Linked DNA regions of Canis lupus familiaris. The protein of the gene in region 6 interacts with the protein of the main gene of each other region in a pairwise test. Links are inferred from orthologs where the notes say so. Each region holds a gene or a part of one and is shown on either strand. Other genes may lie near its edges. The genes, in order: NANOS2, ILF2, IMP3, PIAS2, pre-mRNA-splicing factor SYF2, CCNDBP1 and C12H6orf226.

Region 1 (2,705 bases), on a different chromosome or scaffold from region 6:
AGAATTCCTGGAGGTGATGTGGGCAAGAGGCAAGGCTTTTCTTAGCTGCCAACCTCAGATAGGATTTGGGACAATGCACAGAGCCATGGTGGAGCACTCTAAGTGAGACTGTGCCATGCCATGGGCCTCTGCTACCTCTAAGATCAATTCCCAGCATTTCTAGAGTGAAAATGAGTGCAAATTCCAACTGTGCCATCTCCCTCCTGAGTGAACTTAAGTACATTCTTTAACCTCTCTGAACCTCATATTCTTCTCTATAAAATGTGAGTGATTATGCCCACCTCCCTGAGTGGTTATGAGGCTCAAGTCATGTTCATAGATCTCACGTATAAAACATTGAACACCGAAGTGTGCGCTCAAAAAGTATCTGTCGAATAGAGGGCTCCCAGTTCAGGACCTGGGTCAGAGTCCCAGCTCCGTGGCTTGCATGCTCTGTGACTCCAGGCCAGCGAGTTTCCCTCTCTGAGCTTCAGGTAACTCAGTCTATCCTGTGGGGCTCTTAACTGTGTTTCCCGCATAGATGTTGTGAGAGTGAGATCAGATCACACAGGTGCAGCACAGTAGGGCTCCTGGTAAGGACCTGTCATTATTATCCGGAATGTAGGGCGCCTGGGTGGCTCAGTGGTTGAGGGACTGCCTTCTGCTCAGGGTGTGATCCCGGGGTCCTGGGATCGAGTTACGCATAGGGCTCTCTACAGGGAGCATGCTTCTTCCCCTGCCTACTGCTCTGCCTCTCTCTCTCTCTCTCTGTGTGTGTGTGTGATGAATAAATGAATAAAACCTTATTATTAGGAATGGTTCTGGGGTATAGGGCAGCCCCCAGCCTTGGGGTAAATGAGGATGGGGAGCGAGGGGGCATTTGCACACATGGAACTTTATGGAATGGATAGGGAAATTGAGGCCCAGGGAAAGGAAGGGTCTTTCCAGAAGTCACAGGGTAGCCTGGAAGCAGAGCAAGGACCAGAGACAAGGGGAAGGGCCTCCTTCCGATCTCCATGGGGGATTACAGTCAGATGGGGATCCTGGGCAGGGAGTGGGCCCTTTAAATCTTAAGCTCCACCTTTGTTTAGAAGGGTCTTTGGGGGAGTATAAAAGGGGGTGCAGTTCCTCTCTGCTCCAGAAAAGCACCTGCTGCTCCTGCCCACTGGCCCCAGAGCCCTGGCCTTCTTCCTCTAGCCACCCACCACCTCCGCCTGGGAGCCATGCAGCTGCCAGCCTTCGACATGTGGAAGGACTACTTTAACCTGAGCAAGGTGGTGTTGGCACTGATCCAGAGTGGGGGGCAAAGGCCAGAGGCCCAAGGGAATGGGGAGCCGAGACCTGGGCCCCAGCTGGGGCAGGATCAGGGTGTGGGAGGGCCGGGGGCCAGCCGAAGCCTGGCCACCCTGTGCAATTTCTGCAAGCACAATGGGGAATCGCGCCACGTCTACTCCTCACACCAGCTGAAGACCCCAGAGGGTGTGGTGGTGTGCCCCATCCTGCGGCATTATGTGTGTCCCTTGTGCGGGGCCACCGGCGGCCAGGCTCACACGCTCAAGTACTGTCCGCTCAACGGCGGCCAGCAGTCTCTGTACCGCCGCAGTGGCCGCAATTCAGCTGGCCGCAAGGTCAAGCGCTGAGGATCAGGAGGTGCCTACCCCCCTTCTACCCCCAACCCTCCTGGTTTGGTCCCTGCCTAGTCTCTGGACCCTCCCCCTGACTCACCCAGCCCTTTGGAACTTCTGGCTCCCAGAGCTACATCCCTGCGGGATCCTGAAACAACAGGCTGCTGGGGAGCCCCGCCAGCTCTGCCCCCCGGGGCCTCTCAGGCCTGGAGCTCTGTCCTGGGGGTGTCTGTGGATTCTTGGTGAGGCAGGACTGCTGCCCTCTGGACTGCAAGGCCTGGTGGCTCCTTCTGGACCACCGTTTGTGGATCTTTAGTCTTTCTGGGGGCCAGTGTCACCAGCAGCCCCATGATCCCATTCCTGGTGGACTTCTTGGATTATTGGACCTAGAGGACCCAGCGTGCTCTCCCAGGCCCAGCCTAAGAACTTGGAGAGAGTGAACGAGACTGGCTTGGACACTCTAGCCCAAGAACATCAAGATGTGATTCTGACTTGAGACCAGCTTTGTCCACCTGCTTCAGCCACCACATGTGAACTCATGGTTTCACCGTGGACTTCCCTGGATTGTTCCTTCCCAGCCCGGGCAGCCCATCCACCGGGAGCTGGGGACAGGAGGAGGCATGCGGCAGGAGGCAGGGAAGGGGGGGGGGCGAAGGGGGGGACCTTGTCTTGGAAGGCTTATCTGGGAGTGGAGAGCTTGGGGTGCGCTGCTGACATCCTTCAACTCCCCCTGGTAGACCTTGTTGTTCATTCTGTTTCACTGCACTCCCGCCCCCAACACCCCCAACCGCAAATCACCAATGGGTGTTTCCCACAGCCGGAGGGCGGGCAGCTCTCCACTGCCTCCCACCCACCTTTCAAGGTAGTTTGCTAAAAGTCTTTTTTCTTTCTCCCAGTTTTCTTTTTCATTTTTTTTTCGTCCTCCAACATTTAATCAATGAAGCTCCGACAAGAAAGGGGTTTTAGTGCCCAGATGGGAAAGGCAACTGCCTAGATTTTATTTTAGGGGCAAGGAAAAGAAAGAGCCCCGGTCAGATTTTTAAGTTGCTCCGTTTTTGGCTCAGGGCTGGGCCCTGGGTGTTCAGCACTAGTGAATAAAGA
Region 2 (4,137 bases), on a different chromosome or scaffold from region 6:
GTGTCAAGCAAGAGAAACTGGACAGAAAGTACAGACATTCCTGTGAAGTTGAGAACAGACGCAGCCAACCTGTGCTCACAGAAATCGGAGTTGGGGTGGCCCGTCGGGCGGGCAGAGGGTCAGGAGCGCAGACACAAGTCCTTTGTCCTCACCTGGGTGATGGTTGCGCGGCGGAGCCCATCACTCAGTTAAAGTAGAGGAAAAGCTTGCGGTGCTGCATGTTGCTTGGCCGTCTCTGAGTGGGTGACCCAGCAGCCACCGCGTGTGACCCTGGGGCTGCAGCGGAGTCCTCCCTACACTGTCCACCAGCGGGGAAGCACACAGACCGCAAATCTCTGCTGAAAGTAGAAAACGTGCGGGCAGTGAAGTAAACGTATCCGGTGCAGAAGGGGAGAAGCCGGAGAGAAAGGACCCGGGAGGGACCGGCTGCCCGCGACTCGGGGGCGGGAGAAAGAGCGCCTGCCTATGCGCGCTCGGAGCCACCTGGCGGGGGTGGGGGGCAGGTGCCCTGGGGGTCGCGGAGGGAGGGGAACCTGGGGGAGCGAGACCTTCCCCAGGCGACTCGGGTTCCTCCTCCTCTGCAGCCTCCCCTCAGCGCTTTTTCTGAACTTTTTTTTTTTTTTTTTTAAGATTTTATTTATTCATGAGAGACACACAGAGAGAGGCAGAGACACAGGCAGAGGGAGAAGCAGGCTCCAGGCAAGGAGCTTGATGCGGGAATACATATAAGGACCCCCGACATCACACCTTGAGCCACCCAGGTGCCCCTGAAGGGTCTTTCAAAGGCTGCCTCGGTTTCTCCTCTAGTCTAACCCGTTGTCATCAGGGCTTTCCGTCTGATAGGAGTCTGATCAGCTTCTCTTGCCTCAGGTTCCCGCCTTCGGTGAGCCCCGCCCAGGCGTGTAGCGTTGCCTGAAGTCCCTTCCCATCCCCTTCACTGCATTTTGGCAAAAACGGTTCTAAAGGCTGCATTTTTGAGGGAGGAAAAGGTGATTATAAGCACTAAAAGTACGTGCAGCACCCAAGGAAAAGATGTAACACCTTATAGCAGAGGATGGTTTCGATCCATCGACCTCTGGGTTATGGGCCCAGCACGCTTCCGCTGCGCCACTCTGCTACTGGTGTCGTTAGCCTCTCAGCATCCTAGACGAAGCTCTGTCCAGTCATTTTTGCACCGCGCCACCTAGTGCCTGCCTTAAAAAAAAAAAAAAAGGTTGTTACTGTGAAATCTGTTCTTATTGGCTAATTTCTGACACAGCAGGCGCTTCTTATTGGCTTGCAGGCCGGTCTGCGAAAATAAGCCAATGGGCGTTAGCGGCGGCGTAGAGCGGGGGCCAATCGGGCCAGAGTTTGTTGGGACGCTCCGGCCAGCCGCGTCTCTGGTGTCTGCTCCTCCGAGGCGAGGGGCGGTTAGGGTGGCTTCCATTGTTCGGGGCTTAGGGCGCCATGAGGTAAGGGCCGGGGCGGGAAGGCGGCGGGCGGAGCCCAGGGGCCGAGGATTGGGCAGGCCGGGGGCCGGGGGCCGGGCGGCGGGCGGACTGGCCTTGACCTGGGGCGACGGCTCCGGGAATCCCGGGGTGTACGTCCCCCGGACGCGCGGTTGGAGCCCGGGCCCTGGGAGCGGGGAGCTCGGCGCGGTGGCGGTGCCTTGGACGCAGCGAAGACCTCCGGGAATGTCTGCCTTCCTAGGGGTGACCGAGGACGAGGGCGCGGCGGGCGCTTCGGGTCCCGAGGAGGCCCAGGAGGCGGGTGAGTGCCGGTCCCCAGTGCCCGCCAGCCAGAGGCACCGCTCGCGGTGAGAGTTGGCTGAGGAGTAACGGGGATCCCTTTTCCTCTTTCAGGTTCCGGCCGTTTGTGCCACATATTCCATTTGATTTCTATCTGGTGAGTAACTAGCTCCTTTTGACCCTCGTTGACCTCGAGTGCCCTGGAACCCCGTGCCTCGCCGCGGGTGCGCGGGGTTCACGGGGAGCTCGGGCCGGCAGGAAGCAGCAGGGTTTCGGGTCGCCTGCAAAGCCCGTGTGCTCACGGGGCTCCTGTGGGCGCTAACAGGACTGTGGTCTCTGCTCTGGATGATGAATGCCCTCTTTGGTGTATCTGTTTCTGTAGCGCAATGAGAACTTAAACGATGGCTGGTCCTTCCAGCAAGTACTCTGGTTTGAGTACCTTAACGAGTAAAAACAAGTATTTTTTGTAAATAGCATGTCGTTTCTTTGTGCCTTAGTGTGAGATGGCTTTCCCCCGGGTCAAGCCAGCGCCTGACGAAACTTCGTTCAGTGAGGCCTTGCTGAAGAGGAATCAGGACCTTGCTCCTAATTCTGCTGAACAGGTCTACTTCTTGGGCTTTCTCCCTGAGATTTCTCTAAAAACCTCCCACCCAGGTTGCTGTTACCAGAGCCTATACTCCGCAGAGGCTCAGCTGATCTCATTTCTCACTGTGGGTACAGGGAGAGTGTCACAAGATTATATCAACAGATTCCATGTGCATTTATGTTTTTATTCAGGGATGCGTCTTTAGGTCAAAAAGTTATGGAAAAATACCCCAACTCTGAGAAGTTGCTTATAATTTTTCACTTTAGGGTATCTTTGTTTCCTGCTGTTTTTCAGGCATCTATCCTTTCTCTGGTGACAAAAATCAACAATGTGATTGACAATTTGATTGTGGCTCCAGGGACATTCGAAGTGGTGAGTTTTAGTGATTTAATCATTGGAAAGGGCAGCCTTAGTGGTGTGGGTAGTGTTTCCTTCGCTCCTCCTGTCTCTTAAGTCTTCAGTTACTTATTCGCCAAAGCCAAGCCTAAGATGGGAAGGAAAGTACAGTGGGATCCCTTTGTGGTGGTGATCTTGGGGACAAGACTTGTATCAGTGTTATCAGCTAGCCGTGTATTAGGCTCTTCATGGGGTAGATTGATTGATCGGTTGATAGATTATTTTAAAGATTTTATTTATCTATCTATCAATCAGAGAGAGAGAGAGAGAGGCAGAGACACAGGCAGAGGGAGAAGCAGGGTCCCTGCAGGGAGCCTGATGTGAGACTGGATCCTAGGACCCTGGGATCTTGCCCTGAGCCACAGGCAGAGGCTAAACCACTGAGCCACCCAGGCATCTCCATGTGGTTATTTTATGATTTGACTTCTGCTACTTCTAAACCTGGGTAATGGGATCCCTGGGTGGCGCAGGGGTTTGGCGCCTGCCTTTGGCCCAGGGCGCGATCCTGGAGACCCGGGATCGAATCCCACATCGGGCTTCCGGTGCATGGAGCCTGCTTCTCCCTCTGCCTGTGTCTCTTTCTCTCTCTGTGACTATCATAAATAAATAAACATTTAAAAAAAATAAAATAAACCTGGGTAATAATTGTGTTGTAATTGAGTTCTGAGAAGAACTAGGCAGTCCTTTATTAATTTTAAGGTTTTATTACTTATTTGAGAGTAAGCACGTGTGGATTGGGCGGGGGGGGGGGCAAAGGAAGAGGGACAAGCAGAATCCCTGCTGAGCCGGGAGCCTGACTGATCCCAGGACCCCAAGACCACTACTGGAGCCAAAGTCAGACTCAGACATTTAACTGACTGAGCCACCCAGGCCCCTCTAGATAGTCTTTTTCACTTCTGCATCTCCCAATCCCTTTTCCAACAGCAAATTGAAGAAGTGCGACAGGTGGGATCCTATAAAAAAGGAACAATGACTACAGGACACAATGTGGCTGACCTGGTGGTAATCCTAAAGATTCTGCCAACATGTGAGTGCATCTCTTTCTGGCCACAGGAGCAGAAAGTTGAGTTTGAGGCATAGGTGTCTTCAAAGCCCAAATTTCTTGTGAGAAAGGTCATTTTTTAACGTGTGTTGGGGTAATAAGGGACAAGGTCTGGACTGTGTGTCTGAAAGAATGTATGGCTGTTACTAAAGGGTAGTGTTTCTCAATTGGTGATTTTTTTCTTCCATGGACTATTTGGCAGTGTCTAGACACAGTTTGGGCTACTGGCAATAAAGGAATTAGAGATCAGGGATGATGCTAAGCATCCTACAGTGCATAGGACATATTCTGCCCTTCAGCCCTCAAAGAATTATCCAGCCCCAAGTGGCATTTGTGCCATTGATGAGAAACCGTACTATAAAAAATAAGGGTGTGGGTCTAGGAGG
Region 3 (2,727 bases), about 29 Mb from region 6:
GTGTCCCCTTCCCGTATTTCTCTAGCAAATGCATAAGTCTTGGCACTCTATACTTAGTCTCCTCGTCTAAGTCTTGGGTAAAAAGAGGTAACCTCCCCCTTCTCCAGTTCCCCACCGCGAAGAACATGCTTCCAGGAACCCCCTGGGCCACTTCTAACCGCTAGCTGGCCAAGCTACAGGGTGATTATTTCCTTGGGCGAGCCAAGAGCAAACACTGCAGCCCTCTAACACGGTTACTTCCTGGGGCTGGAATATCCACAGGAAGTCCTGTGGGGAAGAGCTCGGCCAAGACAGTCATTCCGAGCAAGGGATTAGTGCCCTGACGAATCTGCCGCAACCTCCGCAGGCGCCCTCCCCACCCCCCACCCCCCACCCCGGGGGCCGGCCTCGCTCACGGGCAGGTCGCTAACTCCGCTCTTCCCTACTGGGTTCTCGAGCCCAGGAGCCCAGATGTGAACCCAGATGTGAGCCCGTACGAGAAAGCCAGACAGACACAAAGGTGCACGCTCCGAGCGGCTGGCCCCTTTACTGGCATTGGGACGGCTCCTCTCCGCGCGCGAGGGCGCACAGCGCACTAACCCATGCCCGCCCTCGCCCCGCATCTGTGCAAACTCGAGCTCGAATTCTCCAGGGTCCGTGCGCCGCTTAACCCCGAACAAGAGCGAGTACTCGAATCAAAAGGGGTCGAGCAACGGGAAGGCGTCGGCGGGCGGCGCCCCGGGGAGGGACGGCGCTAGGCCTCCAGGTCGAAGTCGTCGCGCTCCTCGTTGTACTCCAGCACGTGGCGCCGGATCCGGGACGAGTCCACCCAGGTGACGAAGTCCTCCATGCTGCGCGTGACGAGGAAGGCGGGGTCGGTGACCACGTCGGGGCCCACGCGCACGTGGCCCTGCTCCACGAAGGCCACGGCGGCCTGGAGGTGCTGCGCCATGCGCAGCTTCAGCAGCACGGTGGGCAGGCGGCGGCGGCAGAAGGCCGAGGCGGTGACCGAGTCGCAGAGCGCGAGCGAGCCGCGCGTGGGCACCAGGCCGAGGGCGTACAGCTTGTCCAGCAGCGCGGCCGAGGCGCGCACGCGGAACGGGTCTCGCTCGGGGAGGTCGCGCAGACGCCGCGCCAGCTCGCGCACCGCCCGGCTCAGCTGGTTGTAGCGCGTGTAGTCCTCCCGCCGCTGCAGCCGGTACCGCCGCAGCACGCGCAGCTCGTGCAGGTTGTGGTCGGTGGCCTCCCAGTTCAGGAAGTCCACCTGCTTCAGCAGCTTCTGCTCGTGGAACTTCAGCTTCCGCACCATGATGGCGGCTCCCGGGGCCTCCAAAGCCGACGCCTCGACCGCGCCGCCGAGCGCCCGCGCGACTTCCGCCCAGGCCGGCCCAATGAGAGGACGGCCTCGGGCCACGCCCTCCGCCCCCATTGGTCAGGCCGGAGCCACGCCCCCGCCAGCCACGTCACTATCTCGCGTTGCTTCCCGCGTTGCCGGAAGTAGGGCCGAGGTGCTGGCGGTGGGGCGGCTGGCGCGGCCGCGGCCCGGGCAGGTGCTCTTCCTTTAGACCTTTTTCTTGTTGTTGTTTTAAACCTCCTCGTGGTGTTCAGTCACGAGGACTGTATCCCCAGTGCAGCAGTCGTTCAGTCCCACTCAGACTTATGCCTGTTAGAGTCTCCCAGGTGAGTCCGCTCCGGGAAGCTGAGGTCAGGCCGGGCGGAGACAGGTGCCGGCTGTGCTGGTTCGGCGGGCTGCGCGGCGCTCCCGGTGCTCTCGGTGCTCCCGGCGGTCGCGGTGCTCCCGGTGTCACGGTCCTCCGGTGCTCCCGGCGGTCGCAGTCCTCCCGGTGCTCTCGGTGGCCGCGATGCTCCCGGCGGTCGCGGTCCTCCCGGTGGCCTTGATGCTCCCGGCGGCCGCGGTCCTCCCGGTCCTCCCGGTGGCCTCGATGCTCCTGGCGGCCGCCGGTCCTCCCCGTGCTCGCGGTGGCTGCGATGCTCCCGGCGGTCGCGGTCCTCCCGGTGGCCGCGATGCTCCCGGTGGCCGCGATGCTCCCGGCGGCCGCGGTCCTCCCGGTCCTCCCGGTGGCTTCGATGCTCCCGGCGGCCGCGATGCTCCCGGTGCTCGCAGTCCTCCCGGTCGTCGCGATGCTCCCGATGCTCCCGGCGGTCGCGGTCCTCCCGGTGCTCCCGGTGGCCGCGGTGCTCCAGCTGCTGGGAGCTTCCCGGCGCCGCCCGGTCTAGGGGGGCCCGACGCTGGCGAGCCTGCAGGAACCCCGACTGCCCGGCCGCTTCCTCGCCCTCACAGAGGCCTCCCCGAAAGCTGTATTAGCAGATGTGCCAGGTGACTCATCGAACCTAGCAGGTCCGAGACACCTGGATTCAAGTACACACCCCGAGCTCACTCGAATTAGCCCGACCGGGTGGACTTCTGGTCACCCGGCACCGAGCTGAATACATTCAACGCTCTTCGGCTCCTTCGGTCTGTAAGTCACATACACGAAACCGGTCTGTTTGCCTGGGCCTTTGACGCCATCTAGCTTCCTCGCTGATCATTTTTAGTTTTGTACGGGAGTTTCATTGTCCTTTTAAGTACGATACTTACTATGTGGGAAATGATACATGTCAGTGTAAGTTATACATGTTAAGTTACAAAGTATAATGAGGATACTTAGGAACCCAACAGCCAGCTTAAGAAAAATGTCACCAGGACCACTTCCATCGACCTACTCCGGCCACTTCTCCAGCCAGAGG
Region 4 (4,090 bases), on a different chromosome or scaffold from region 6:
AGCAATAGTATGGGCAGCCAAATATGTGACTTCCAAGTCAGCTATTTCCTCTACTGCCAAGTTAGCCAACAAACTAATGCTGGCCAGTTTTCCCTGGTCCTTTAATTTACCGGACTCTCTGACCCCCACAGAATATATTCTGAAGCAGAGACCAACCATTTAGAATGCCCTACATGTTTCTTCCTCTTTTCTAATTAGATTTTCAGTCAGCTGTCCTGTTTCCCCTCCAGTATTATATGTCACATAAGAAGGACACTGGCTGTCATTCTATTTAGTTCATAGATTGCAGGCTGATGGCTAGCAACACCACGTGGACCTGAAGGAAATTGCACAGAGCAGGAGAGCCCAGATTCTGAAGAGCGTGGACTCTAAAGCTTGACATCTGAGGTTAAAAATCCCAGGTCTTCCAGCTCAAGCTATGTTGGGCTACTCAACTGGTCTCAGTTTCTTCTGACAATTTCTTCTAATAATTCTATTACAATTATTGCAAGAATTAAACAGGTATGTAAAGTGCTTAGACCAGAGCCAGGCAGGTAATAACCAGAGATATTATAATGGATATTTATTATCATCATCGTCATCACCACCACCACTGAAATGGGTACAGGACATGGAGACAGTTCATCTTTAAATGTAGAAGATGCTGCTGAGCAACTAAAGCAAAGACTGGTGTGGATAACTCTTCCACCATCTATCTGCACACCCTTCTTGTCCTCTGAAAATTCTCCCCAGACTCTGCCAGGCACCTTAAGTGAGGTGCCATCTTCCATCAAGTGTGGGAAGAAGCAAAGACAGCTGAAAAAGATGATGAAGCTGATCTACAAAACAAATTGTAGATGGCAAGGTGGGGGAGAGGGAAGAAAATGGAGAGGGAGAAAAGGAGGAAAGGAGGTGGGGGGGGATAAAAGTGGGGAGCAAGAAGGGGGAAAGGACAGGTAAACCCGAAGAGAAAAAAAGCATCTTTGGCTTCCATCCTGGCTCCACTCGAACTTCAGCACTGACTGCTCTTTCTGCCCTATACTTGCAAATAAATCCTCCCCTTTTTATTAAGCTTTGACAAACAACATTTATAAAAGTCTAATGCAAGTCTTGGAAAAACTTTCATCAACAAAAAAAAATCCTAGAAGACGATCACTTGTATATATATGTTACTGCGCAAAAATTAGGACACTGCATGTAAAAAAATTTTTTGACCTTCCAACTTGTCTCCTTAACCAATCCTCAACCTAATGCATTCATTTACACAGCTGAGGCTCAGACCTGGTTGTTTCAAAAGCTCCACAGGTGTTAAAACTCCTACACTTACCAACATGAATACCCTTTGGCCGCTACTATGGTTCTCCGTATAAACTAATGTAGAGGCACTATAAACTAATATAAAGAAAATGCATTCATGTACTTTTTACTAGGAATTAAGTAATTCGTTTTGAAACGACAGAAGGGAAAATGGCAGGTATTATGCAAACTATAACACGCCCTCCCTTTAGATCGTTACACCAATAGGTTCTTTTGCTGATGTCCATCGTACCAGCCAGGTAAGCAGACAACATCCTTCCGACTCCATCCCTCGCGGAGGGGGGGGGGGGAGGGACCACAAACATACAAAACTGAATCTTTGACCGGATTCCTCCTCCTCCTTATTCCCAAAAAGTAACCCTTACATCGTAGTCTATTATGCAAAAGGACTGCAGTTAATTTCAAGTTCGCATTCAGCTCTACTTCGGCTTTTTTTTTTTTTTTTAAATCACGGTTTCCGTCCTGAAGTATTCCATTTCTGTCGCCAGTAATTCAGCGATCCATAAATAATAAATAATAATAATAATAATAATAATAATAATAATAACGAATCAATCCCGTCCGTTTATCACAGTTCAGTTTCAGCTGAGGACTCTGAAGGTTACCAGCCCCGGGGAAGGGGGGCGGGATATCTTTTCCTCTGTACCCCCCAGCACACCCGTTTTCAAACCCCGACTACAAAGATACCAACAATAAAGTTGTGACCTTGTCCTAAGGCCAGGAAGCAAAAGGTTCCCCCCCGCGCGAGCCGAGTTCACAAGCCAAGCTCACGGCCCCTCGGCCTCTGCGAGCGTCTTACCAGGGCAGTAAGAAAACACCAAGTGTGAGGTCGAGCCGAACCGCGGTCTCACGGAACGGCAGCACCAGCCCCGAGAGCAGAGGCGGAGGACTCCTGAACGCCCCTCGGCGTCGCCGAAAACAGTCTCCCGGCAAGTGAGTACCACGCGGACTTCGGAGCGGCCCCCAAGGCGGACGGGCGGACCCCGCGTCCCGCCGCAGCCCGGACACCAGGCCGTCGGGCGCCCGCGAGACCCTCCCGGCGGCGGCGGCGGCGGCGCCCCCGCGCCCCCCGCCCCGCGCGCCCCGCGCGCCCCGCGCCAGGTGTGCCCCCCACCCCCGCCCCCCGGGCCCGGCCCACCCGCCGCTCCGGGCCCGGCCCGCCGCCGCCCCCGCGCGGCCCAGCCGCCCTCCGCCGCCCGGCTCCCCTCCCCCGCCCGCCGGGCGCCCCGCTCGCACTCCGCCAGCCGGTCCCCGCGAAACAAGAAGCTGGCGGCCGAGCGACGCTGCGGCTCCCCCGCCTCGCCTCGCCTCGCCTCGCCTCCCCTCCCCTCCCCCGCGGCCTCCACTCTCCACTCCCGCGCCCCCGCTTACCCTCAACTCCTCGAAATCCGCCATTTTACACCACCCGCGGGCGCCGCCGCCGCTGCCGCCACAGCACCCCCTCCCGCTGCCGCCAACGACGCCGCCGCCACCACGGCCGCCGCCGCCGCCTCCAGCACCATCCTGCACTGGGCGCCGCTAAAGACGCCGCGGCCGCCGCCGCCGCCGCTGCCGCCGCCGCCGCCGCCGCCGCCGGGCCTGTCACGTGACCGGCGCGGGAGCTCCGCCCCCGGCGCGCGCGGCCCCGCCCCCCGCGCCCACCCGGCCCACCGCCTTCCGCCCACGTCTTCCGCCCGGGCCCGCGGCCCGCTCCCGCCGCCCGCCGGCCCCCCGCACGCCTTCCGGCGCCGCGCCCGCGGCCGTGCCCTCCTCCGCTCCGCCCCTGGGACGAGGACCCCGGCCGGGGAGCGGCGGAGGCGGGGGAGACGTGGCCGGGGCTCCCGGCAGCGACGTTTCGGGAAAATCCTAGCGGTGCCCTTGTAGCCGACGGGAAGCAGCCGCCAGGAAAACCGCCCCCCAAAGCGGCGGCGGACCAGCCTCAGCGTGGCGCTGCCCAAGCCGCCCTTGCGATCTCAGGTGCGCGCCGGCCGAGCCCTCGCCGCGTGGGTTCTGCCCTCCGAGTACTAACCTGGCTGATGCCTTGGCTTTGAAGGGCGCCTGAATGTCACGGGCTGCAGGCGCGAGAGGGTGGAGCGGCGGGACCTGGGGAAAGGTGAAATAAGAGAGCGAAAGAAGAGTACTCCCAAAGATCCCCGGTTTTTTAAAAAGTCGAGGGGTCGGGGAAATCAGATAGCCGGGCGAGATGAAATGCCAAGGGCAAAATAGATGGAAGCGAAGCGCGGTGGCACCGGCGACGTGCTGATAAGGATGAGAGAAGATGCTGAGTCAAGCTGCTCGGAAAATTCACTGGACCAAGCCCGGGGTTCAGATTTCCCTGAAGAGGTGGGTGAAACCCACCCACGGGGAGAACTTTAAAACCCTTGATACCATCTGCAGAGCCCTGTGTACTCTGGTGCCTGCCTACTGCCTCTTCCCATTCCCCGTTTGTTTAATGAGTAAAAGAATGAATGAACAGCAACTAGAGTGATTTCTGACGCTGGCTCTCTACCATTAACTTCGTGGTCTTCGCCTGGCTGCTTCTTGATTTTAGTGTTTATCCTCCTTTGGCCTTGGTTTACACCTCACTGGAGTTTAACATTGTTCAACAGCCATTAAGTGAAGGTCACCGTGAACTAGGTGCTTTGAAGGAAGAGAAAGGTGAATAGAATACAAGCCTTCCGCCGAGAAGTTTACAACGCATACAAGGGACCAACATGAACACGAAATTAAGAGAAGGCATGGCCTCACCGAGAGTTGTTTGTAGTATTAGCTGTCGGGTTGGTAGGTTTGACTGCACGGCTCTCAGCGCTGTCCC
Region 5 (4,258 bases), on a different chromosome or scaffold from region 6:
GTAACTCTGATCCAGAAGCCTGGCCTATAGCACATACTATTAATGACACAGGACATAAGTATTCTTTTTCTGTTAACCAAACCATGCAGACAGCCCACCAATTTGTTAGCCAAAAGAATAAAAAAATATGACTGTCAGAACCATGGGTGGCTATACTCAGATTTGGGATGGGTGTATGTTGCTTACCCCAGTATGGACATTTGAACACCCAGGCACCCCTATGTTGTTGGGAACAATAACAAAATCACTCTAAACATAACCAACCCAACTGCACCCAAGATGTGGGATGGATATCTAGAACTTTGGAAGCATTCTGTTATATTGAAGGAAACTGATTGGTTACATTGTCCATATGTTTACTAAGCAGCCCTGAGTGGAACTCAGTGGTTATGTGGCACAGATCATTGGTCATGACTTCTACCTGGATGTTAGATCATTGCACCCTAGGGCTTTCCCTGGGGGTAAGGGAGAATTCATCCCACTGTCTTTGTTCCCTCTGTTGGCCAAGATGTATACTGAAGCTTTACTAAATTTACCCAACAAGCTTTACATGACAGCCAGCAAAAATTATTGTATATTCTCACCCAATGAATCTGCAATCATGTCATCTTTACTAAATCATAGGAGGAAGCAATCCTTGTACATAAGTCATTTTATACCTGTCCAATTGCACCTGTAGGATAAATTCTGAGAAGTGTAACAGTTAAGTCAAAAAGAAAATGCCTCTGTAATTTTTATACATATTGCCAAACTACCCTCCCTAAGGGTTGTACCAATTTTCAGTCCTACATGACCTGTCCATCTGGCCTGGGCTTCCTCAAAGAATGGTGACTGGGTTCAAAAAACAAACATCCCAGGAGAACCAGATGGAATCTGTTACCCCTTTTATGACTTAGCCTCAGAAGTCACATCATGTCACTTCCTCCGTAGTCACATATTCAAGGATTAGGGACATAGATCTTATCTCTCCTTAGGAGGTATGCCAATGTCACATTGTAAGAACAGCACGTAGGATGGAAGATCTTCTATCATCTTGGAAAATTCAGTTGGCCACACAACTTGTTCTGTTCTTTGTTACTAAATCTATGTAAATATAACTTGAACAAAGAGCTCTTCTAAAATTTCAAAAAATTATGAAATTGTTACCATGTCCCATGAAAAGAATTGTGTTAGATATGTTGTTTGCTCCTTTAGAACCACCTTCCACCAGTGTCCACTCTGTTCTGCACCCACAAGTGCTGGCCCGTATGTATTGCATCAATAAGCTCTCTTGTTTATTACTCTCTCCTCATTAGATCCTTCCAATTAGCGGCACTTACAGAAGATAAGAAATCTGGGAGAAATGGGATCAGGATATTTATTCCCTGCCTGGATTATGGGTTGGTCGATTTCTTTAGTTACAGCCTCTGCCTGAAGACCCTCTCCTACCCTATCCTTCCCTTACCTCTTTAAGATTAGGGGTAACAGGGATCCCTGGGTGGCACAGCGGTTTAGCACCTGCCTTTGGCCCAGGGCGCGATCCTGGAGACCTGGGATTGAATCCCACATCGGGCTCCCGGTGCATGGAGCCTCTGCCTCTCTCTCTCTCTCTCTGTGTGTGTGTGACTATGGAGCCTGCTTCTCTCTCTCTCTCTGTTTGTGACTATCATAAATAAATAAAAATTAAAAAAAAAAGATTAGGGGTAGCAATGGCTTTTCCCTGCTGCTAGCCTTCTAGTGAAGAATGCTTCACTTTCTTTTGCTGGTTTCTCTTAACCCAGGCCACAACTTTGTAAACAATCACTTCATTAAACTCTCCTTAATTATTTGACTTCAGTTTGTAGGGCTCTGACAAAATGTTTTGTAGAACCTGTAATTCCAGTGTGATCTTTCTGAAAATAATTATGTCATGGACATTTCTGTATTCCTAAAGAATATAAATACATGTAAGACTCCTCTATCAATTCATCCATGATACAGAAAACAATAAAGGCCTAGATTTGCTGCATTTTTTTTATTTATTTATGATAGTCACAGAGAGAGAGAGAGAGGCAGAGACATAGGCAGAGGGAAGAAGCAGGCTCCATGCACCGGGAGCCCGACGTGGGATTCGATCCCGGGTCTCCAGGATCGCTCCCTGGGCCAAAGGCAGGCGCTAAACCGCTGCACCACCCAGGGATCCTGATTTGCTATATTAATAGTGGTTTAGAAACTTGCCTCATTTAAATCAGCGGCATTAAACAAAGCAATTCCACACTTGTTTAATTACACTTATGTAAATGTAACAAAGAAGAAAGTATGAATGAGCTATAACAGGCAAGTGACCCTTCAGGCAGTGGAGGTTAAGGCTTCCCTGAGGAAAGACATTTAATAAAATCTCAGGCAGGAGAGGGGGGGACATCTAATGCCAACTGGTAAAAGTCAGCAATAACTCATCATTTGCTATGGGTCAGGTACTAGTCACAGATACTTCACCCATATTATCTAATTTATCCCCAAACTACTCTGTTACATAGGTATTGCTTTATTATTTCTTTTTCATAGATGATGAACCAAAGAGCAGACTAGTTAGCAAACAAATAAGAACGATCATACAGTTCATTATTGAATGAGTGAACAGATACATGAAGAATGCTGTTCTGTGCAGAATTTTCCAAAGAAAGTCAAAGCCTCAAATTAATCCAAATCCTCTGCATCACGAAGATACTCAAGATACCAAATAGCCCCCAACCAATTTGTTCCTTCTTTCACTCAACAGTATGAAATTAGTTCATACCCTACACCAGGTACCGTTCGGGCCACAGGAATCCGCTGTGCCTCTTGGAGCTCACGTTGACCTGAGCAGGGCGACAATAAACTAAGCGGGGATTAAAACAGGATGAAGTAAACAAACAAACAAACAAAAACAGGATGACGTGATGGTAACTGTGAATCTACCCTGGATTTGAATTCAGAAATCTGAACTACAAGGTTGGTCAGATGATGAGCACATCTTGAGCTTTGGGTTGCATTTCCACACATTCGGTGGGTTTTTTCCTCCTCTTGGTCCCAAGAGCGCTGACTCCAGGTCTCTGGTTTTACCCGCGCCGCCCAGGTGTCTCTACTCAACGCGCCTGCGCACAGCCCTGGACCAATCGGATGCGGCCCAGGGCTGCGACGGGCGGGGATTGGTCCCTTGTCTCCGGGAGAAGCAGAAAGGGGCGGGGTTTTCTCCCGGATACCTGTGGCTACCGCCCAGTCGGGAAAGTTATTTGTCGCCGAAGTCAGAGGGATCGGGCGCTGCCGGGTGATGGCGGCTGGGTCTGAGTCTGGGAATGAGAAGGTGGCGGGCTTCGCCCAGGGGATGGGGTAGGGGCGCCTGCGGCTACGGGCTTGGCTAGACGTGGAGGCGGCGCCAGGGAGGGAGGCACACACGCGTGGGGTCGGGCCGGCGCTGAGGGCTCGACCCGGCGGGGCCGCCCCGACTCCAGCCGGTGCTCCTTGCCCAGGTGCCGGCGAACAGCGCGGAGGGCGGAGAGCAGAGGCGCGAACAGAGGCTGCACCTGAAGCGGGTGAGTAGCCCGCGGGGCCGCGGAGACCTGTGCCCCCGGCGGCGGGCGCGACGCGGGAGGGACCACCGAGCCGCACCTGCGCGCCTGACCGACCCCGGAGCTGAAGAAAGGTCTTTCCCGGTGGTTTCCGCCCCAGTAGCACGCTGGAATCCCTCCAGAGTTGATTTTTTTTTTTTTTTTTTTAAGATTTTTATTCATGAGAGACACAAGGAGAGAGGCAGAGACACAGGCAGAGGGAGAAGCAGGCTCCATGCGGGGAGCCCGACGCGGGACTCGATCCCAGGACCCCGGGATCACGCCCTGGGCCGAAGGCAAGCGCTGAACCGCTGAGCCACCCGGGGATCCCCCCACTCCAGAACTTTTTAAAAATGCTCGTGCTTAGGCCTCACTTTTAGAATGTCTGATTTAATAATTTCCTGGACCCAGATACTGGTTTTGTTTTGTTTTGTTTTGTTTTGTTTTAATGCAAGCTCTCCCCACACGCTCAGCTCTAGTGATTCTATCAAACCCTTCTTTTTATGGAGGGGGATACTGCGGGCCAGAAGTGGAAGGGAATGTGTCTGTTGTCACACAGCAAGTTGGCCACTCACTCACTCATCCCAACACCCTCCTCCCCACTTCCCGCCAAGCTCCTAGTGTACCCCAGCCAGTTAGTGTGGATGCAGCGGTCAATACAGTAAGGCCCCTGCCTCAGGTCCAGAACCGGTAATTACACCACAACACGACTC
Region 6 (4,170 bases):
CTAACAGAATCACAATATACCTAAAGGTAATTAACATAGAACCTATATTGCTCAATGTTGGCTATTTTCCTTCCAAGTAGTCACTGGCTTTCTCCTATCTTCCTTGTCCTCACTTTCCTGCTAAATTCTAAGCCAGTGCTATGTAAAATGTGGTCCACAGATTGGTGCCAGTCTATGAACAGTTACCAGTCTAGGATGGAAGATAAGTACAGTGATTGAGAGTAACTGCTTAAAACTGTTTATGACAATGTAACTTTGTTTCAACATCCAAAAACATTAAAACAAACAAACAAACAAAACAAACCATTTTTCAGTAGACTAACATGCTAAGATCCTAAGAAAGCAAATGGGATTCAAATACATATAACTCAAATAAAACTAAAACTTTTCACCTATGAGTGAACCCACTGTCCTGAGCATGTACAGAAAAATAATTCTATGCTGCTCCTCATAGTGTCCTACTAGCTGTGAATTTTAGCAACAAGTCCTAAGTATATTTGAAAGAAAGGATCAACAGATAAAAATAAGGTAATATTACTCCTTTTGAAATAAATATTGACTTTCTTAAGCAAAGCTTTTAAAATGCTCTCTAACAATTCATTTCTTATTTTCTTATCACAGTTCTCTGGGACCTATGCGGGGGGAGGGGGTAGGGAGAGCTTATTGTAGGTGCAGCAAAAGAATATTTTTTCCATTTTAAAACATCTGGATATATAGATTGAAAAAAGAATCAAACCACTGATTATTAAAACCAAATAAGGCAATGAATATGCCATTTTTAAAATAATCTTACTCTCAAATTAAGTATACCTAGTTCTGGAAAAATAGCATAAAGCATAGTCATAGCCAACATGTTTATTTTCATCAATTTTATAATAACTGGTTATTTAAAAATGCATAAATTCAGGGTGACTGGGTGGCTCAGTTGGTTAAGCATCTGCCTTCAACTAGGGTCATGATCTCGGGGTCCTGGGATCTGGGCCAGAATGGGGCTCCCTGCTCAGTGGGGAGTCTGCTTCTCCCTCTCCCTCTGCCCCTCCCCACCACTTGTGCTCTCTCTCAAATAAATCAATAAAATCTTTAAAAATAAATAAAAATAAAAATGCATAAATTCTTGTTCCATCAATTCCACTTCTGATATATACAAAGATTGTCTTAGGCAATTTACACAGCACTGTTTATAATAGTTACAAGTTGGAAAGAGCTTTAATGTCCACATAAAGTATCATTAAACAAATTATAGTTATATACACTCTATTGAATACCATGCAGCATTACAAAGAACTGAGCAACTTCATATGTGCTGCTAAGAATCAATGTGCAAGCCATGTTGTTAATTGTTTTTTAAAGGAAGGTCCAGAAAAGTGTTTATAGTTTATAGTATCCTATCATTTGTGTAAAAAAGAAGCGGGCATATACACATGAGTGTGTATGTGCATCGAATATATATGGAATAATACAAAAGTAACTGGGGAGGAGAAATATAAATTTTTTAGCACACTTAACTTTGACATCTTCTGAATTTTATATTGTATATATATGTTACTGATTAAATATAAAAAGCAATTCAATACAAAAAGGATATTATGTAGCATAACAGAAAAGGTGTCGTTTAGACATCATGGGCCCTAATTTAAATGCTAGTTCCACTCTTATTTACCTTAACCTGAGCCTCTAAGCCCGCTTACTCATCTGTCAGGTGGGAATTACGTATGTGAAAACACTTAGCAAATAGCGAGTGTTAAAAAAAATATTTATCAGAAAGGAAATAACCAGGATGAACTGCAGATTGAACCAATACCTATTTGAATGACCTGAGCACGGCATGCCAGGGGCTGACTGCCCTTGGCAACCTCGCACCCCTGCGAGGTGAGAACCGCAATCTTACTTGACAGGTGTGGAAAATTAACCCCCTGGCTTCAGTGTAAAGGGTGGAAAGAAAACGACTGGATCCCTAATGAACAACGAGGCAAGCACAAGGATTCCAGGAAAGTAAAGCCCACCTGCGGAGAGGGCAGTGGAACTCGAGAGAAGACTTCAGTCAGGGTCGTGGCTTCCCTCGACACGTTCTCTGCTGCCCGGTCTGAGGGATGACAGAGGGGAGGGGCCGTGTTGTCAGCGCCAAAAGGAGAAGCCTGCAGCTGCTGCATGGACTTTGGAGATGTCAGCCTCAAAAACACCTCCCCGGATCAGTGTTTCATATCCCAACCTCCGAAGTGCAAAGGACTGAGAGGATGCGGCGGGGGGAGGGGAGGGGGGGAAAGCGGGAGGGAAAGGGGTCGTCAGTACCCTGGAAGGGATGAGAAACAGAAGTCCCCAACAGGACAGGCACTCACTGAGTCTCCTCCAAAACGTCTCAGCATTAAACTCCTTGGTGGTCTCCCGGGCTTCGCCAACTGTAGCCGGTGTAGCATGTGGACCGGGGGTGGCAAAAGGAAGAGCACAGGTAAGCGGAGCCACCCCGGCCCGGCCCCGCCCCCGCCCCCGCCCCCGCCGGCGCCCCCGCCGGCCTCTTCCCTAGCCGAGCCCGCCCCTGCCGTCACCAGCCCCCAAGGCGTCAGCTCACCCCGCACGCCAGGCAGGAGCAACCGCAGCTCCACTGCCAAGCGCCGGATCTGCTCCAAAGGCGGATCTAGGGTGGGGACTGCGGCTGTAGGTGCGGCTGTGCTCGCCATCTCAGGAGATCGCCTGGAACCTCCGGACGAGAGCGGCCGAGGCGGCTGCCAGGGCCGCAGGGCAGCGGGCGCTCCGCTTCCGGCAGCCTCAGGTCCGGGTTCGTTTCCGGCAACAACTCGCCCGGCCCCGCCCCGGGGCCCCAGCCACGCCCGTTCTCAGCGTCCGAGGCCGGGCCACGCCTCTCTTCGTCGCTGGGGGTTCCGGCCACGCCCCCTCCGACTCCCGAAGCCTGGCCCCGCCCCCGAGGGTCCCGGCCTCGCCTCCTCCCGCCCACAGATGCAAGGCCCAGTCAGAGTTCTTATTCATCATTCATTTATTTGATTAGCTGAAAGCACCCCACCTAAAGAAGCAGAGAACCCAGTACCCTGAGGGAAAAGTAGACCTGAGCTAATTATCTCAAGGGTAGTCAAGGTAGGGCCCAAGTTCACAAAGCTTCCCTGCCCCCAACGTGGCACCCTTGTGGGCTGCTGAATTCCACATACTGTGCTAGGTACTTTACACGAGGTAACCATAAAAAATACTCCCATACACACACCCAGTCCCTCACCTGTGGATCTCCTGATTAGGACTTTCTCTGAACAAAAGTAAATCAATCCTTTGCCTTCTTGGAGAAGGAAGGAATCATGGCATTATTTAGAGATTTTTCTGCAGTCCATTCTGTAGGAATCAGTAGTGGGTAATCCCACTCAACTCCCAGGTGTCCAGGGTGCAGCAGCTCCCTGAAGCTTGCCCACCATCACTGGCCTTCCACCTGCTGCTGGGGCAGAGGCCTGGGCCAAAGAGGTGGATGGTGAGACAAGGCCTTCAGGAGCTCAGGTGGCTTTTTAACTGTGCCACAAAGGTTCCAAGCTCAGTAGAGTTCAGAGTCCACACACTATGAATGATAACAGGTGTCAACAGTGTCAACCAGGTCCGCAAAGGGGAGAAGAAGAAAGCTAAAGTGCCATATGTCATATGAAGAAAGTAGCAGGAATAAATCTGCCAGATGTATAGCAGTAACATAAGTAGGTGAACAGGTATAATTTTCAAGTATTTTCCTTGATGGAGATGAGACCGGAAGTTGTGACCACAGCACCGCTGCAGCAAGCTCCAACACAGGTAAGCCATCAAGGGTATGTTAAAAAATACCAGCTGGAAAGAGAAGCAGAACAGAACCATTAGCTTATTAGTAAGACTTTAGAGGGTCAGGTCTCATTAACATATTATTGGCGGCTCCTAAAAATATGCTGCTCTGTCTCGGGGGTTAACTCTTTGATTCTTTATGCTTCAATCACACTTGCTTATAACACTCACAAGAGGTGACTTATAGTTAGTTGTGAATTTGCCTGAGTCCTTTAGTTCATCTTAAAAGTAGGTATCATTTATGTTGAGGCCCTCATTAATGTGTAAGGTAGAAATAAATTGAATATATGTATATACACACACACACACACACACACACACACACTTCTTTTTGGCAGAGTGAAGGGGGGACTTAGGTATCAATAATTTTTT
Region 7 (2,391 bases), on a different chromosome or scaffold from region 6:
CTAAAATCAACACCATTTGGATCCCGAATTCGTTTCCATTACTAATAAAATTCTGTGTGCCTCTTCAGTAGCATTGTAAGAAGGAAAACACATCGGGACGCCTGGGTGGCTCAGGGCTTGAGCTTCTGCTCTTGGCTCAGGGCGTGATCCTGGGATCCAGGATAGAGTCCCCCCGCCCCCCCCACATTGGGCTTCCCGAGGGGAGCTTGCTTCTCCCTCTGCCTATGTCTCTACCTCTCTCATAAAACGAAAGAAGAAAAAAAAAGGTTCCTGAAAGGCTCGGTCAAGTATCTGACCTCTGCTGAGGTCGTGATCTCAGGTCCTGGGATAGAGCCTCCCGCCCCCCCCCCCCCCCCCCCCCACCCCGGGCTCCCTGCCCATTGAGGAGTCTGCTGCTTCCTCTCCCCCTGCCCCTCCCCTGCTCGTGCTAATAAATAAAATCATTTTTTTAAAATCAAAATATCTATGCATCGGGGACAGTGAAGTATGAGATTTGTCAATTTTAAGGGCTGAAACTGGGTATTTTAAAAATTTAATGAGGATCATGCTTCAGAAATACGGATACAGACAACCCCGATTATACTCCCAGGAGGCTTAAGTCCAGCCGAGATGAGTCCGGGCGAATGCACAAAGGATGAAAAGCCGAGGCCAGTATCCGGGGTCCGAGGTAACGCAGGGCACAGCCCCGCCTTCCGGGTCCAAGAGGTAAAGGACATGGAGCCTCAGGAACCCACTGCGGGCCATCGAGAGGGCGCAATCCCGCCTCCGCCGAGCAGGACCCGTCCACGCGGCTCGTCTCCCGGGACCCGGGGTCTAGGGCGGCGATGCGGCGGCCTCGGCCGACCCCGCGGCCTCCCAGGGCTTGGGCCTCCGCGGGAGCTGCGACGCCGTGGGCTCGCCGTGGGTCGCCGCGATGTGGCGCATCTCCAGGCCAGGGAGCTCCCGGCCCTGCTGGACCAGCTGCACGAGCTGCGCCAGGCTCACGGATGCCGAGGCCGACTCCGCGGGCGCCGGGCCGCAGCCCAGGCCGCTCCGACGGCCCGACGGCTCCATGCGCCGCTGCGCCGCCTCACCCGCAGCAGCGCGAAACGCTTCCGGGGCGGTGGGTGCAACCACCATCGGAGGCAATGGGGGGGGGTTCGTGGAGCGTACCAAGCCGGCCCAGAAAGGGGGGAGCACTTGAGAGCCGCGACCAGCTCCACGCACACGGAAAACTAGCCCACACCGGAGCCTGCAACGTGGCAGTGCTTTTTTTTAAGTTTTTTTTTTTTTTTTTTTTTTTTTTTTAATTCAGAGAGAGAGAGAGGTAGAGACACGGGCAGAGGGAGAAGCAGGCTCCATGCAGGAAGCCCGACGACGTGGGACTCGATCCCGGGACTCCAGGATCACACCCTGAGCTGAAGGCGGCGCTGAACCGCTGAGCCACCGGGGGCTGCCCCCGTGCAGTGCTTTAGAAGGAACTCCAAGACTGGCACAGAACGGGCCACGCATGATCATGATGCTGGCAAAAAGACCCAATTTGGCACAGGGGCATAGGCTCCTCCTACAAACCTCTTTTCCTTTCTCTTCTTTTTTCTTCTTTCTTTTCTTTTCAGTAATCTCTTAGGGCTCGAATTCAGGACCCCGAGATGGAAAGTCGCGTGCCCCTCAGACTTAGCCAGCCAGGCACCCCAGTCCATACCGATTTTCACACTTGTGTGTAAGTGTGTACCTGCAGGGCACGTGTAGAGACAGACGGCCAGGGGATCATCTCCGAGCCTGGCCTGACTCCGCAGCTCCACACAGAAAATAGCTGCGGAGAGACTTCCAGTGGGAGTTAAGTGACGGCGGAGCTTCGCCACTCTCCCCTTTTCCTGCCAACAAGACTCTGTGCCTGGTATTTTCAAAGAGGATGAGAAAAGATGAAAGCAGACCAGGTGTGCTACAGTCCCTCTGGCTCTCTGGAAAGTCAGTGCCGATTATTCTCAGGTTTCTAAGTTTATTGAAAGTTGGCCGGATCTGGCAAGCACTGCCTTCTTCATCCTGTAATCAAGGTCTAATTACTTTTTTTCAGTCTAATTACTATTAACAGAACAAACGGGCACCATGTGTCTCCTGATGTGATGCACTGAGGACACAATGGACGTGGGAAGACTACATCTCTTCTGTGGTACTCCTGCCCAGAAGGTTCACTCTGAATCTCATCTGGAGGAAATGAACAGACCTTAGAGTGAGAGACATTCTACAAATGTCTTTATAAATGTCAATGTCATAAATGTCTTGGGATGCCCACAAAGACAGTTATTAAAATTCTGATCAGATGGTTGACTGTGCTGACTGTCTTCTGTGACCCCACCAGATCCTCTCTCCACCCTTATCCACTGAGTTTCCTGCACACCGATGTCTACAGAC

What was found.
Region 1: the proteins of CCNDBP1 (region 6) and NANOS2 interact in binary tests that used the Homo sapiens proteins (3 or more experiments, as listed by UniProt). The two-hybrid records come from large-scale screens. The link is inferred for Canis lupus familiaris from reciprocal best matches to the Homo sapiens genes CCNDBP1 and NANOS2.
Region 2: the proteins of CCNDBP1 (region 6) and ILF2 interact in a two-hybrid assay, tested with the Homo sapiens proteins (2 studies listed by BioGRID and IntAct). The two-hybrid records come from large-scale screens. The link is inferred for Canis lupus familiaris from reciprocal best matches to the Homo sapiens genes CCNDBP1 and ILF2.
Region 3: the proteins of CCNDBP1 (region 6) and IMP3 interact in binary tests that used the Homo sapiens proteins (3 or more experiments, as listed by UniProt). The two-hybrid records come from large-scale screens. The link is inferred for Canis lupus familiaris from reciprocal best matches to the Homo sapiens genes CCNDBP1 and IMP3.
Region 4: the proteins of CCNDBP1 (region 6) and PIAS2 interact in binary tests that used the Homo sapiens proteins (3 or more experiments, as listed by UniProt). The two-hybrid records come from large-scale screens. The link is inferred for Canis lupus familiaris from reciprocal best matches to the Homo sapiens genes CCNDBP1 and PIAS2.
Region 5: the proteins of CCNDBP1 (region 6) and pre-mRNA-splicing factor SYF2 interact in binary tests that used the Homo sapiens proteins (3 or more experiments, as listed by UniProt). The link is inferred for Canis lupus familiaris from reciprocal best matches to the Homo sapiens genes CCNDBP1 and SYF2.
Region 7: the proteins of CCNDBP1 (region 6) and C12H6orf226 interact in binary tests that used the Homo sapiens proteins (3 or more experiments, as listed by UniProt). The two-hybrid records come from large-scale screens. The link is inferred for Canis lupus familiaris from reciprocal best matches to the Homo sapiens genes CCNDBP1 and PEX39.

What each region holds. Positions count from the first base shown.
Region 1 is NC_049222.1:110,427,807-110,430,511, forward strand, and holds NANOS2 (nanos homolog 2), read left to right. Parts: upstream 1-1,137; 5' UTR 1,138-1,202; coding exon 1,203-1,619; 3' UTR 1,620-2,205; downstream 2,206-2,705. UniProt on the Homo sapiens protein: Plays a key role in the sexual differentiation of germ cells by promoting the male fate but suppressing the female fate. Represses the female fate pathways by suppressing meiosis, which in turn results in the promotion of the male fate.
Region 2 is NC_049228.1:43,390,544-43,394,680, forward strand, and holds the start of ILF2 (interleukin enhancer-binding factor 2), read left to right. Parts: upstream 1-1,337; 5' UTR 1,338-1,446; coding exon 1,447-1,451; intron 1,452-1,689; coding exon 1,690-1,749; intron 1,750-1,841; coding exon 1,842-1,884; intron 1,885-2,224; coding exon 2,225-2,329; intron 2,330-2,607; coding exon 2,608-2,685; intron 2,686-3,633; coding exon 3,634-3,736; intron 3,737-4,137. UniProt on the Homo sapiens protein: Chromatin-interacting protein that forms a stable heterodimer with interleukin enhancer-binding factor 3/ILF3 and plays a role in several biological processes including transcription, innate immunity or cell growth.
Region 3 is NC_049251.1:38,869,876-38,872,602, forward strand, and holds IMP3 (U3 small nucleolar ribonucleoprotein protein IMP3), read right to left. Parts: upstream 1,370-2,727; 5' UTR 1,289-1,369; coding exon 734-1,288; 3' UTR 501-733; downstream 1-500. UniProt on the Homo sapiens protein: Component of the 60-80S U3 small nucleolar ribonucleoprotein (U3 snoRNP). Required for the early cleavages during pre-18S ribosomal RNA processing. Part of the small subunit (SSU) processome, first precursor of the small eukaryotic ribosomal subunit.
Region 4 is NC_049228.1:44,443,711-44,447,800, reverse strand, and holds the start of PIAS2 (E3 SUMO-protein ligase PIAS2), read right to left. Parts: upstream 2,801-4,090; 5' UTR 2,692-2,800; coding exon 2,668-2,691; intron 2,275-2,667; exon of another isoform or gene 2,096-2,274; intron 1-2,095. UniProt on the Homo sapiens protein: Functions as an E3-type small ubiquitin-like modifier (SUMO) ligase, stabilizing the interaction between UBE2I and the substrate, and as a SUMO-tethering factor.
Region 5 is NC_049223.1:73,953,760-73,958,017, reverse strand, and holds the start of pre-mRNA-splicing factor SYF2, read right to left. Parts: upstream 2,801-4,258; 5' UTR 2,756-2,800; intron 1-2,755. Other genes in the region: pre-mRNA-splicing factor SYF2, read left to right, coding at 3,118-3,279, 3,468-3,530. UniProt on the Homo sapiens protein: Involved in pre-mRNA splicing as component of the spliceosome.
Region 6 is NC_049251.1:10,346,292-10,350,461, reverse strand, and holds the start of CCNDBP1 (cyclin-D1-binding protein 1), read right to left. Parts: upstream 2,801-4,170; 5' UTR 2,676-2,800; coding exon 2,567-2,675; intron 2,397-2,566; coding exon 2,337-2,396; intron 2,084-2,336; coding exon 2,004-2,083; intron 1-2,003. Other genes in the region: TMEM62 (transmembrane protein 62), read right to left, coding at 3,481-3,807. UniProt on the Homo sapiens protein: May negatively regulate cell cycle progression. May act at least in part via inhibition of the cyclin-D1/CDK4 complex, thereby preventing phosphorylation of RB1 and blocking E2F-dependent transcription.
Region 7 is NC_049233.1:11,640,537-11,642,927, forward strand, and holds C12H6orf226 (uncharacterized protein C6orf226 homolog), read right to left. Parts: upstream 1,246-2,391; 5' UTR 1,120-1,245; coding exon 814-1,119; 3' UTR 501-813; downstream 1-500. UniProt on the Homo sapiens protein: May be a peroxin involved in the PTS2-mediated protein import pathway.